Neurospora crassa OR74A: one gene and its partner. The protein of the gene in region 1 interacts with the protein of each later gene in a biochemical or structural test. Links are inferred from orthologs where the notes say so. Each region holds a gene or a part of one and is shown on either strand. Other genes may lie near its edges. The genes, in order: pkc and NCU03137.

Evidence for each region.
Region 2: of the proteins of pkc (region 1) and NCU03137, one has a biochemical effect on the other in vitro, tested with the Saccharomyces cerevisiae proteins (3 studies listed by BioGRID). The link is inferred for Neurospora crassa OR74A from reciprocal best matches to the Saccharomyces cerevisiae genes PKC1 and PAH1.

The regions. Positions count from the first base shown.
Region 1 is NC_026504.1:1,589,410-1,593,808, reverse strand, and holds the start of pkc (protein kinase C-like protein), read right to left. Parts: upstream 3,005-4,399; 5' UTR 2,359-3,004; coding exon 1,923-2,358; intron 1,849-1,922; coding exon 1,585-1,848; intron 1,517-1,584; coding exon 542-1,516; intron 489-541; coding exon 1-488. UniProt on the Saccharomyces cerevisiae protein: Required for cell growth and for the G2->M transition of the cell division cycle. Mediates a protein kinase cascade; it activates BCK1 which itself activates MKK1/MKK2.
Region 2 is NC_026501.1:4,687,413-4,691,873, forward strand, and holds the start of NCU03137 (nuclear elongation and deformation protein 1), read left to right. Parts: upstream 1-1,376; 5' UTR 1,377-2,032; coding exon 2,033-2,486; intron 2,487-2,551; coding exon 2,552-4,461. UniProt on the Saccharomyces cerevisiae protein: Mg(2+)-dependent phosphatidate (PA) phosphatase which catalyzes the dephosphorylation of PA to yield diacylglycerol. Required for de novo lipid synthesis and formation of lipid droplets.

The DNA of each region.
Region 1 (4,399 bases):
CGAGCCATATCCCTGCTGCTGCTGGGCGGAGTACTCGTCGTCCCGAGAATCCGGTCGTCCATAGCCAGGGGAACCACCAAAGTCGGGTATCGAACCGGCTTGCGAAGGCTGAGAGCTATGCTTTGGTGCCATAGCCGCAGCCGCAGCCGCCGAGGCGGTTGTTGAGCTGGTAGAGGTCCTGTCGGGGCCGCCTGGCCTGGGCGTTGTCTGGCTGTACATAAGCTTGGCAGCCTCAGTTGCCTCGGGCGAAGCGATTGACGTATAAGCAGTCGAACCGCTATACGTCGATGCCTGAGCGATCGACCCGGACGAGATGGAAGTTTTGCTCCCCGGCCTAAGGGTACGCTCACTCATCGAGGACGCCTTATCCTTATGAGTCTTCTTCTGCGTTCGCATACCCTCCAAGATCTGGTTGGCGACAGCCATAGACATGCCACAGAAGTCAGGAACAAGATGCACGCATTGCGCGTGGGCTGTAAGAGCACATTCTGTCATAATTGTCAGCATATGGGGCTCCAAAACAGGGGCGAACTCGACATACCTGAACACTTCCTCGAGTTCTTCTTGGATCCAATTGGTAGCATGTAACCGCAGTGGCAGCACCAGTTGGCAGTAAGGTTGGAGAAAGGAATGAAGCGATGGGGGATGCGGTGATTGATCTTTTCCTCGTCAGGATCAGTCTCGGCATTACTCTTGCTGATGCACTTGGTAACAACGCTGGTGTAGCACTTGGTGTGGCAGGTGTACTTGCAATCCTCGCACTGCATACCAGCGGAGTACTTGAGGAAATCGCCGCATAGCGCACAGCGCATAATGTTGTAGAACTGCTTCTGGACAAACTTGTGTCCATACATCTCGTGAACTTCCTCCTTGCGCTGGCGGACAGCACCCTTGCGACCCAGCCTGTCCATGCCCTGAGGACGAGCCCCCTTGATGAAGTTAAAACTGAGGTGGATCTGGCCATAAGGCTCCAGGTTGAACCAACCGTCTACAGGCTGTGAAACAACTTGGGATGGCGGAGGCGCCTGGGGTGGGATCATGGTGTTTTGCTCCTGTGATCCAGGGGATGTTGGCGGTGCCGCAAACTGAGGACTCTGGGCGCCCATTGGGAATTGCGGCGGAGGAGCTCTGGAGCCAACGCGGTCCGCCGAAACCCAACCTGCGGACGTCATTTCGGCCTCGATCTTCTTTCGGCGAAGTTCCTCGACGATGTCCGAGATTCTGACCCAGAGCATGGCGATAGGCACGGGATGCTCGGCGGGCTTATCATAAACCGTAAACTCGATTTCGTTCGTCTTATCGACCGGGAAAGTGTGGAATTCGGCTTCCCACTTGTCGTTTCGCGAAGGCTTTGTGCGCGCAACAACTATATCTTCGGCCTTAACAGCGATGAATGTTTCGGGGGAGCGAGCGAAACGACCGAGGGGCGCATGGTCGACATCCTTTACAGCGAGAATGCGAATAGAAAGAGTACCGCTCAGGGGTTTCCTAAGGGCTGGCAGGTTGATGCTGTCGTCTATAGTCACATTCAAAGTTAGTAAAAGGAGTGCTGGTGAAAGCAGCATGTGGGGGAAGGAATTCTACCATCTGGACCATCAACATCAATGTCGATGTGCAACTCTTCATATCTCTTGAGTGCCTGCTTCAAGAGGACAATCTTTTGTTTACTTTCGACACGCTTGGCGGCAGCGTCAAGCTTGCTCTTCTTATCACCTTCCATCTGATAGAGCTGTACCATCTTCTCAATGCCCTTTAGGTACTGTTCTTCCACGTTGAGCTTGAACTGGATTTGGGACAACATCAGCTGGATGCGAGGTCCAAGATGTGGGGTATCGAACTTGATTAGATCTGCAGTTCCCTCAACGTCAGTCACACAGAATATGTCTAAAGGGGGACTGGTCCAAGGAAGATGTCCAACTTACCGAGCCTTGTATAATTAGGACGCGCCCGTGGAACATTAGAGTCAGGAGGACCACCGGGATAAGGAGCAGAGGCGGGCATCAGAGGACCGCTGCCCTGACTCTGGTGAGAGCTGTGGCCGCGTACGTCCTCCTTGGGGGGAGGAGAGGGGGCGCCGTAGCCCTCGAAGTCATCAACGGACTGTCGGTGGGAGCCGGACATTGGGCTGGCACCAAGCGACATGTTGTCGACGCCATGGCCGAGTCTCCTCATCTGCAGTTCGCGCAGCTTCTCCTCGAAGAACTCGAGATTCCTCCTCCCTTCGCGCATCTGGGTGTCGAGCTTGGAGCGGACCTGCTCATTGTTTGTCTGCTGGCGCATGGCCTGCGCAGCATTGATCAGAGCCTTTTCGCGCTCGATCTTCTTGGAGATGTCGTGGACCTTGTCTTCGTCGTTCATGGTGGCGGTATTGGGCCCGGCGGACCGATGGCGACGGTGGGAGATGGATTACTTTGGAGAGGATGAAAGGTAAAGATGCTCCTGGCAATACTAATGTCCGACGGTGACGGTGTCGGAGTCGGTGTCGGCAGTGGGAGAGCGGGGGAGGGGGGGGAGGGAGAGAGGGAGGACGACGGGATTTGATCCGGACGACTAAAATGCTGCTGGCATGCCAGTATGACATGCAACGGATGCGTCGTGGTGGTTGTTGATGGACGGTCAAGTTGAGCACTTCCCGGGTGGAAGGCGAGGCGAGCCAGGAAGGCAACTTGGCAGCGAGGACGGATAAGGAGGTCCAGCCAGGAGGGATGGATGGAGGTCGAGGGTACCTCTAGGTGCTATGGACACTTTATAAGGCAGACACTGATTGGAGTGCTACGCTGCTGGACCTAGACGTCGGGTAGGTAGAGGTAGGTAGGTAGGTAATGGAGGAGATAGTGGCGGCGGGGCAGCAATTAGCATTAACAGAGAGAAAAGGCGGGTTTTGCCTTTTTCGACGGGACTGAACGAGGAGGCTTCAATGTGCAAGATGGAAAGGCTCAAGGTGGCAGCAGATTAGCAGGTACTGCAGAGAGAGGTATGATGCTAACGATGGCGGGGTTTTGTGTGTTTCGCATAGGTTTGGCGGCGGCGGCCCTTGTCGATTCGACGAGCCAAACAGCCAGTGGGCATCCAGACGAGAGACGACGATGCCTGGTACTGCACGCTGAGCGGTCGAAGTACGCACAGGCAGTTCGGGGCAAAGGCGGGCAGGTCACTTCCTTGTTAGCAACGTCCACTTTTCCCCTTGAAGAGGCGGGGATCGCGTGGTTTTGGTCCAAGTCCAACACTTCAATTTGTCGACTGGACTTCCGGTTCCCAGTCAGGTACCTCGCCCGCTAGGTGTCTTTCATTCTTTAGTATATCCATCATCACGAGAACAATGAAATCTAATACACCTAGGGATATACGAGAACCGCACATACTAAGCGGGAAATCTCGAGGCCAACAGTCCCCGTTTGTTCTTTGAATTTAGGCGCGACGAGCCCATTCCATGCAGTGTTCTTTACCACCCCATCATCCAAAGGGGGGTGGTTCTTGGGAACTAACAAAAATCTACGATAGCCTCGTCTTGGCATCAGATGGTTCCGAATCGGCGCATTTTCAAACAGTCAACAACACTAACAGCAGCGACCCTCTTGGAATGGAACCCTTTTGTTTGCATATCACGCACAGCTCACACAGACAGACTGTTGGGCAGCCACAGGCAATGACTACCCGAACAGAAGATGGGCACCTCCACACATCGATACCTATACGACACCGTCACGACGGGAGTGGATGGCCTGGTCTGCCTGGTGCGCTGATACCGAACCGTAGGACTGTTGAAATGGTGGTGCAGGGCGCTGGTAGGACTTCCCTTCCGCACTTGGGCTTGGGACATGGGATTGGAAGCCCGGAGACCGAGGGGTGTCAGTGGGCGCAGTATCGAAACGGGTGCGTGCACTTGAGTTCAGTTGGTGGCGCACCTTGAACCGCTTGAGTTTGGAGGGCTGTGATTGGGCATGCCGAATCACACTTTGGGGACTTGGATCACGCAGTCGACTTTCTTTCACTCGTCCTAGTGAAGGAACATGCTGTCAACAGTTCACCCTCGAAAAGTTTGTTAACATGGCACTTTCAAGATGGCTAGAGGTAGGCGCCAATCCTGCTTATTGCTCGCTATAAGTACAGTCAAATTTTGGTGCGAGACATATGTATGGGACACCATCAATTGTTGTTCATAACCTGACTCTAGCTCGGTTTGGACCAATAGAACCGCCTGAAAATCATGTCCTCTTTCTGCCTTGTCAGAAGACGTTGTAAGTTTCGCACTAACAAATCTCAAAGGTTGGTCTGTGTATAAAGACCTCACATGTTAACCGCCTGACTTTTGAGAACACCATCGCCCGAAAAGTCCTGATGTGCAAGTATTTAGGCAATGATGACGGCGACTTGAGACAGAGGAGACAAACCCCATTTG
Region 2 (4,461 bases), on another chromosome or scaffold:
ATCACACCATTTTTGCTTGGGGATAGGGCTCTACTCATCAAATCGATCCGTTACGCCTCCGGATTTCCCAACAAATATCACCACCGACCCCCAAGGACTGAGGACGTACTGATCCTCAGCACCGGGCAATACGCTCAGGCTAAGATTGCCGTCCATAACCCCTTACGGTACTACACGTCTTCCAGGCAGCTGGGGTAAGGCTCTGCCTTGTACTGTATGCGGGATGAAGAAAAAAGGCGCTGGATAAGCCGTGGTATCCCCAGAGGCCTCGCACCTTTGTAGATAGTGTATGTATCTTGTCTCGCCCCTTGGGCACAGTTTGGTGTCACCAGGTGTACCCGTAAGCCGATAGAAACCCGGGATACACAGCGAGAGTTGACGTTCACGGCATATCTCAACCCAGCTACCTTCAGAGTAGACGGCTGCAATACCGCCGGGAACAGACAATGGACACTCAGCGAGCGACTGCTTCTTTTTTTTTTCACAACGACAACCGCTTGTTGACGGCTCGTTGGATCACTTAATAAACGTCAGTCAAACGAGACTGACAAGGTGAGAATACGAAAAAGTTCCATTTTCAAACTCGCGGTGTCAGTGTCAGTCAGCAGGACATCAGGGGAACTTGAAGGGTACCTGGTAGTCCAGCATAACAAACATCCCCGTGACCGCTTATGACACCAATTTGTGCGGTTGGATTGGCCAGCCGTGTTAGCTCGTTGCAGACCGCCGAGGTACCAGGCTGGTAAATGACTATATTGCCGTCTTACAGGGTATCGCTAGAGACTTGCACCAAGTCGGTAAAGTGCGCGTGGGTTGATGATGGGGAACAGCCGGTGCAAATGCAGTCTTGTGCCTGTCTGCTGCCCTGACAAGAGGCCGAACTCATCAAGACAGAATTAGATCTGATTGTTGAGAAGGGAACCGCCCTCGTGATTCTGGAAGGTTGGGCGTTGGGGATGATCCCGTTTCTCATTCCGCCTCACCGGGTATGTAGAGGTGGATACCTACCTACGTATTGTCTGGTAGTTCTACTGGTTTGTTGTTAACTTGGTACCTAGGCACTCACTCGTAGAACACTGAATGAAATGTCTTCCGAGATGTCTCCAACCTGTTAAGGACTAAATGAATGGCTGGATATAGATCCAAACGGCATCCATAAAATTCAATACGGTGTAATTTAGCTCGGAAGAAGCATAATCGCCGCTTGAAAACCCACGGGGAGGTTGACCCGAGGTCTCGAGCTAACTTTCGTACCAGTATAGGTTGGACTGCACAACGAACAACCTAGCCGGTTCCTTAGTTCCTTCCCTTTTAGTTCTACTCGGCGGATCGCGATCCGTTCGCCATGCCCCAAAAAAACACAAAGTTTCTACAACACGAGCTCTTCAATTGTCGTGCAGATTTTGGTTCCTTAGTTCGAAGCATATGATTCTGAAGAAAGGGTTTGAACGCCCCCTTCGGACTTTTCACACAGTGTTTTACCGTACTGCGCATAATCAATCCACTCCCCAAGCCCAGCATCCCACTTGGGTTGCTACCTTCCTTGTCTTTCACTGCTTGAACCGCGGCAGACGTTCGTCATCAGATCCGCATTCACTGGGCAAAGTCCCCCAACACGGCGCATTCCTCAATACTTTTCTCCCGGCATACTCGCACCACCAGACGGGAAGTGAACGAGTCGGATTCACTCACGCACACCACGTTGAGTAACCATCCATTCGAGACGACAGAGCAATTGAGGCCGGGTGGTCAGAGCCTAATATCTCCCTACGCATATCGGGCGTTCATCCGGCCTTCCCGACCTCGCCCAACACACTAGAGAACCCCTACCGGTCGCCTACCGGTCGCCTACTCGAAGTCGAGAATCGAGATTGCGGTCGACATTACATAACCGTCCAGACCGCATGTAGCCTTGCCATTTGACTGCCCCCCCATATACCGACATAACCAACAAATACCCCCTCCCTTTCCCCTTTGACCATCAAGAGGGACACATCCTTCTCGACGACAGAACGAGTTGCGATTGCCTACCATGCAGTACGTCAGGAGTCTCGGCGACTCTGTCTCTACCGCCTGGAACTCCATCAACCCTGCGACCCTCAGCGGTGCCATCGACGTGATAGTCGTTGAGCAGGAAGATGGCACCCTTGCATGCTCTCCCTTTCACGTGCGTTTTGGCAAGTTCTCGCTGTTGCGCCCATCCGAAAAAAAGGTCGAATTCAGGGTCAATGGCGTCAAGCAGGACTATGCCATGAAGCTGGGCGAGGGAGGCGAGGCCTTCTTCGTCTTCGAAACTACAGACACCATCCCTCAGAGCATGCAGACGTCGCCCATCGTGTCGCCCGCCTCTAGCCCCCCGCTCAATGCCGACCAGTCAGGGCCTCTACAAGAACCTGAATCACTCGATCTGAACTCGGTAGAAGGCAAAACCCGTTCTTCGAGCTTCAACCACAGGCCTCCTCCCACTGCTCTACTAGCACGAGACGGTAAGCGCTGTGTCCAGCTTCCACGCCGCCATGATCGACATATACTGACAAGCATGGGTTATAAGGGTTGCTCACACCTCGTTCCGTATCACCAGATCCTATCAAGGGTGAATGGTCTCCGTTTCGCCCACATAGCGATGGCCTTCTGCGGCAGTCAGCGCGAAGAATGCCAAGCGATGGCAGCACCCACGAAGGTTCAGAAGAAGGCGATAGCCACACCGAAAGATCCCGCAGCCCGCCGCCGCTTACAGCACCCGAAGCTCTTCAAAGGGCAATGAACCTCTCCCGAGAGCTCGCCGCCGCCAATATCCCTAACCACATCAGCGAGACCGGAGACCTCATGTTAGATATGACTGCGTTCAAAAACAATGAGGAAGACGCCTTCCGGGCTGAGATCCTTGCGCGCAAGATTCTCACGGAGGAGCTTGATGGCAACTACGACATCGGCGCACTTTTTGGCGTTGACGAGCATGGAAACCTTTGGATCTACAGCAGCATCGAGGCGAAGGAGGCCGCCATGAAGAGGACGATGGACCCCCTACGCTCTGCATCTCACATGGGCAACATTGATGCGGCTTCTGACCCTGGGTATCAGAGCGATGCTAGCGATACCTCAGCCGCCACGACTCTACCGATCCACAGGAGAGCTGACTCTGATGTCGGCCAGATGACCCTGCAGACACCCCCAAGCTCTCCCGGCAGTTCGGCAGCGGGCGATCCCAATCGGAACTACGCAAAGACCTTGAGGTTGACTAGCGACCAGTTGAAGGCCTTGAATCTGAAGCCCGGCGAGAACTCAATGAGCTTCACCGTGAACAAAGCTACCTGCCAGGCTTACATGTTTTTATGGAAGCACGAGGTACCCGTGGTCATCTCGGATATTGATGGAACCATTACAAAGTCTGATGCGCTTGGCCACGTGCTGAACATGATCGGGCGCGACTGGACGCATGCTGGTGTAGCCAAGCTGTATACTGATATTGTAGCCAACGGGTACAACATAATGTATCTGACGAGTCGGTCTGTCGGCCAGGCCGACACTACACGAACTTACCTCGCAGGTATCGTTCAAGACGGGTACCGTCTCCCACGCGGACCTACCATTCTCTCACCCGACCGAACCATGGCGGCTCTCCGTCGCGAGATCTATCTCCGCAAACCACATATCTTCAAGATGTCCACGCTTCGTGACATCCGCAACCTCTACGGGCCCGATCGCACACCGTTTTACGCCGGGTTCGGCAACCGTTTCACGGACCAAATCTCGTATCGCACGGTCGACGTGCCCCGTAACCGTATCTTCACCATCAACTCTAATGCAGAGGTGTCACTCGATTTGCTGAGTCTCAACAAACTCAAGCTGAGTTACGTCAACATGACCGAGGTTGTCGACCATTACTTCCCACCTGTCACCACGCTCATCAAAGGCGGTGGCGAGGATTATACGGATTTCAAGTATTGGCGAGACCAGCCTTTGGATCTTGACGAGTTCTCTGCCAGTGACACCGAGGACGAGCGCAGCGGTGGCCGAAAGACATCTGCTCCGGCTGTTGTCGATGATCATGAAAGTGAGTACGAGGAGGATGACGAGGAAGAAGTTGGCGACGGTCTTGTGGACAGCTACATCTCGAGAAACTCGGTGGATGATTACGAGGAAGGAAGCGTGGCAAGTGAGGATGGGGATTATGATGCAGAGGATGATGGCGAGGATGATGGAGAGGATGGTGAGGAAGAGGAGGGAGAATATGATGAGGAGGCTGCGCCCGAGCATATGGTTGATTCGGCTATGCTGGACAGCGTGTATGTGGATGCAGATGCGGATGGAGTAATCACTGACGACGAGGACGCCGAGGGAAAAAAAATAGTTGAAGAAGAAGAGGTGGACAACGAAGAGGAGGAAGACGGAGGACTCGGCGCCGAGGAAGAGGAAGGGCTCAGACGTGCTGCTGCCGATCTCGAACAGGCAATGAAGGAG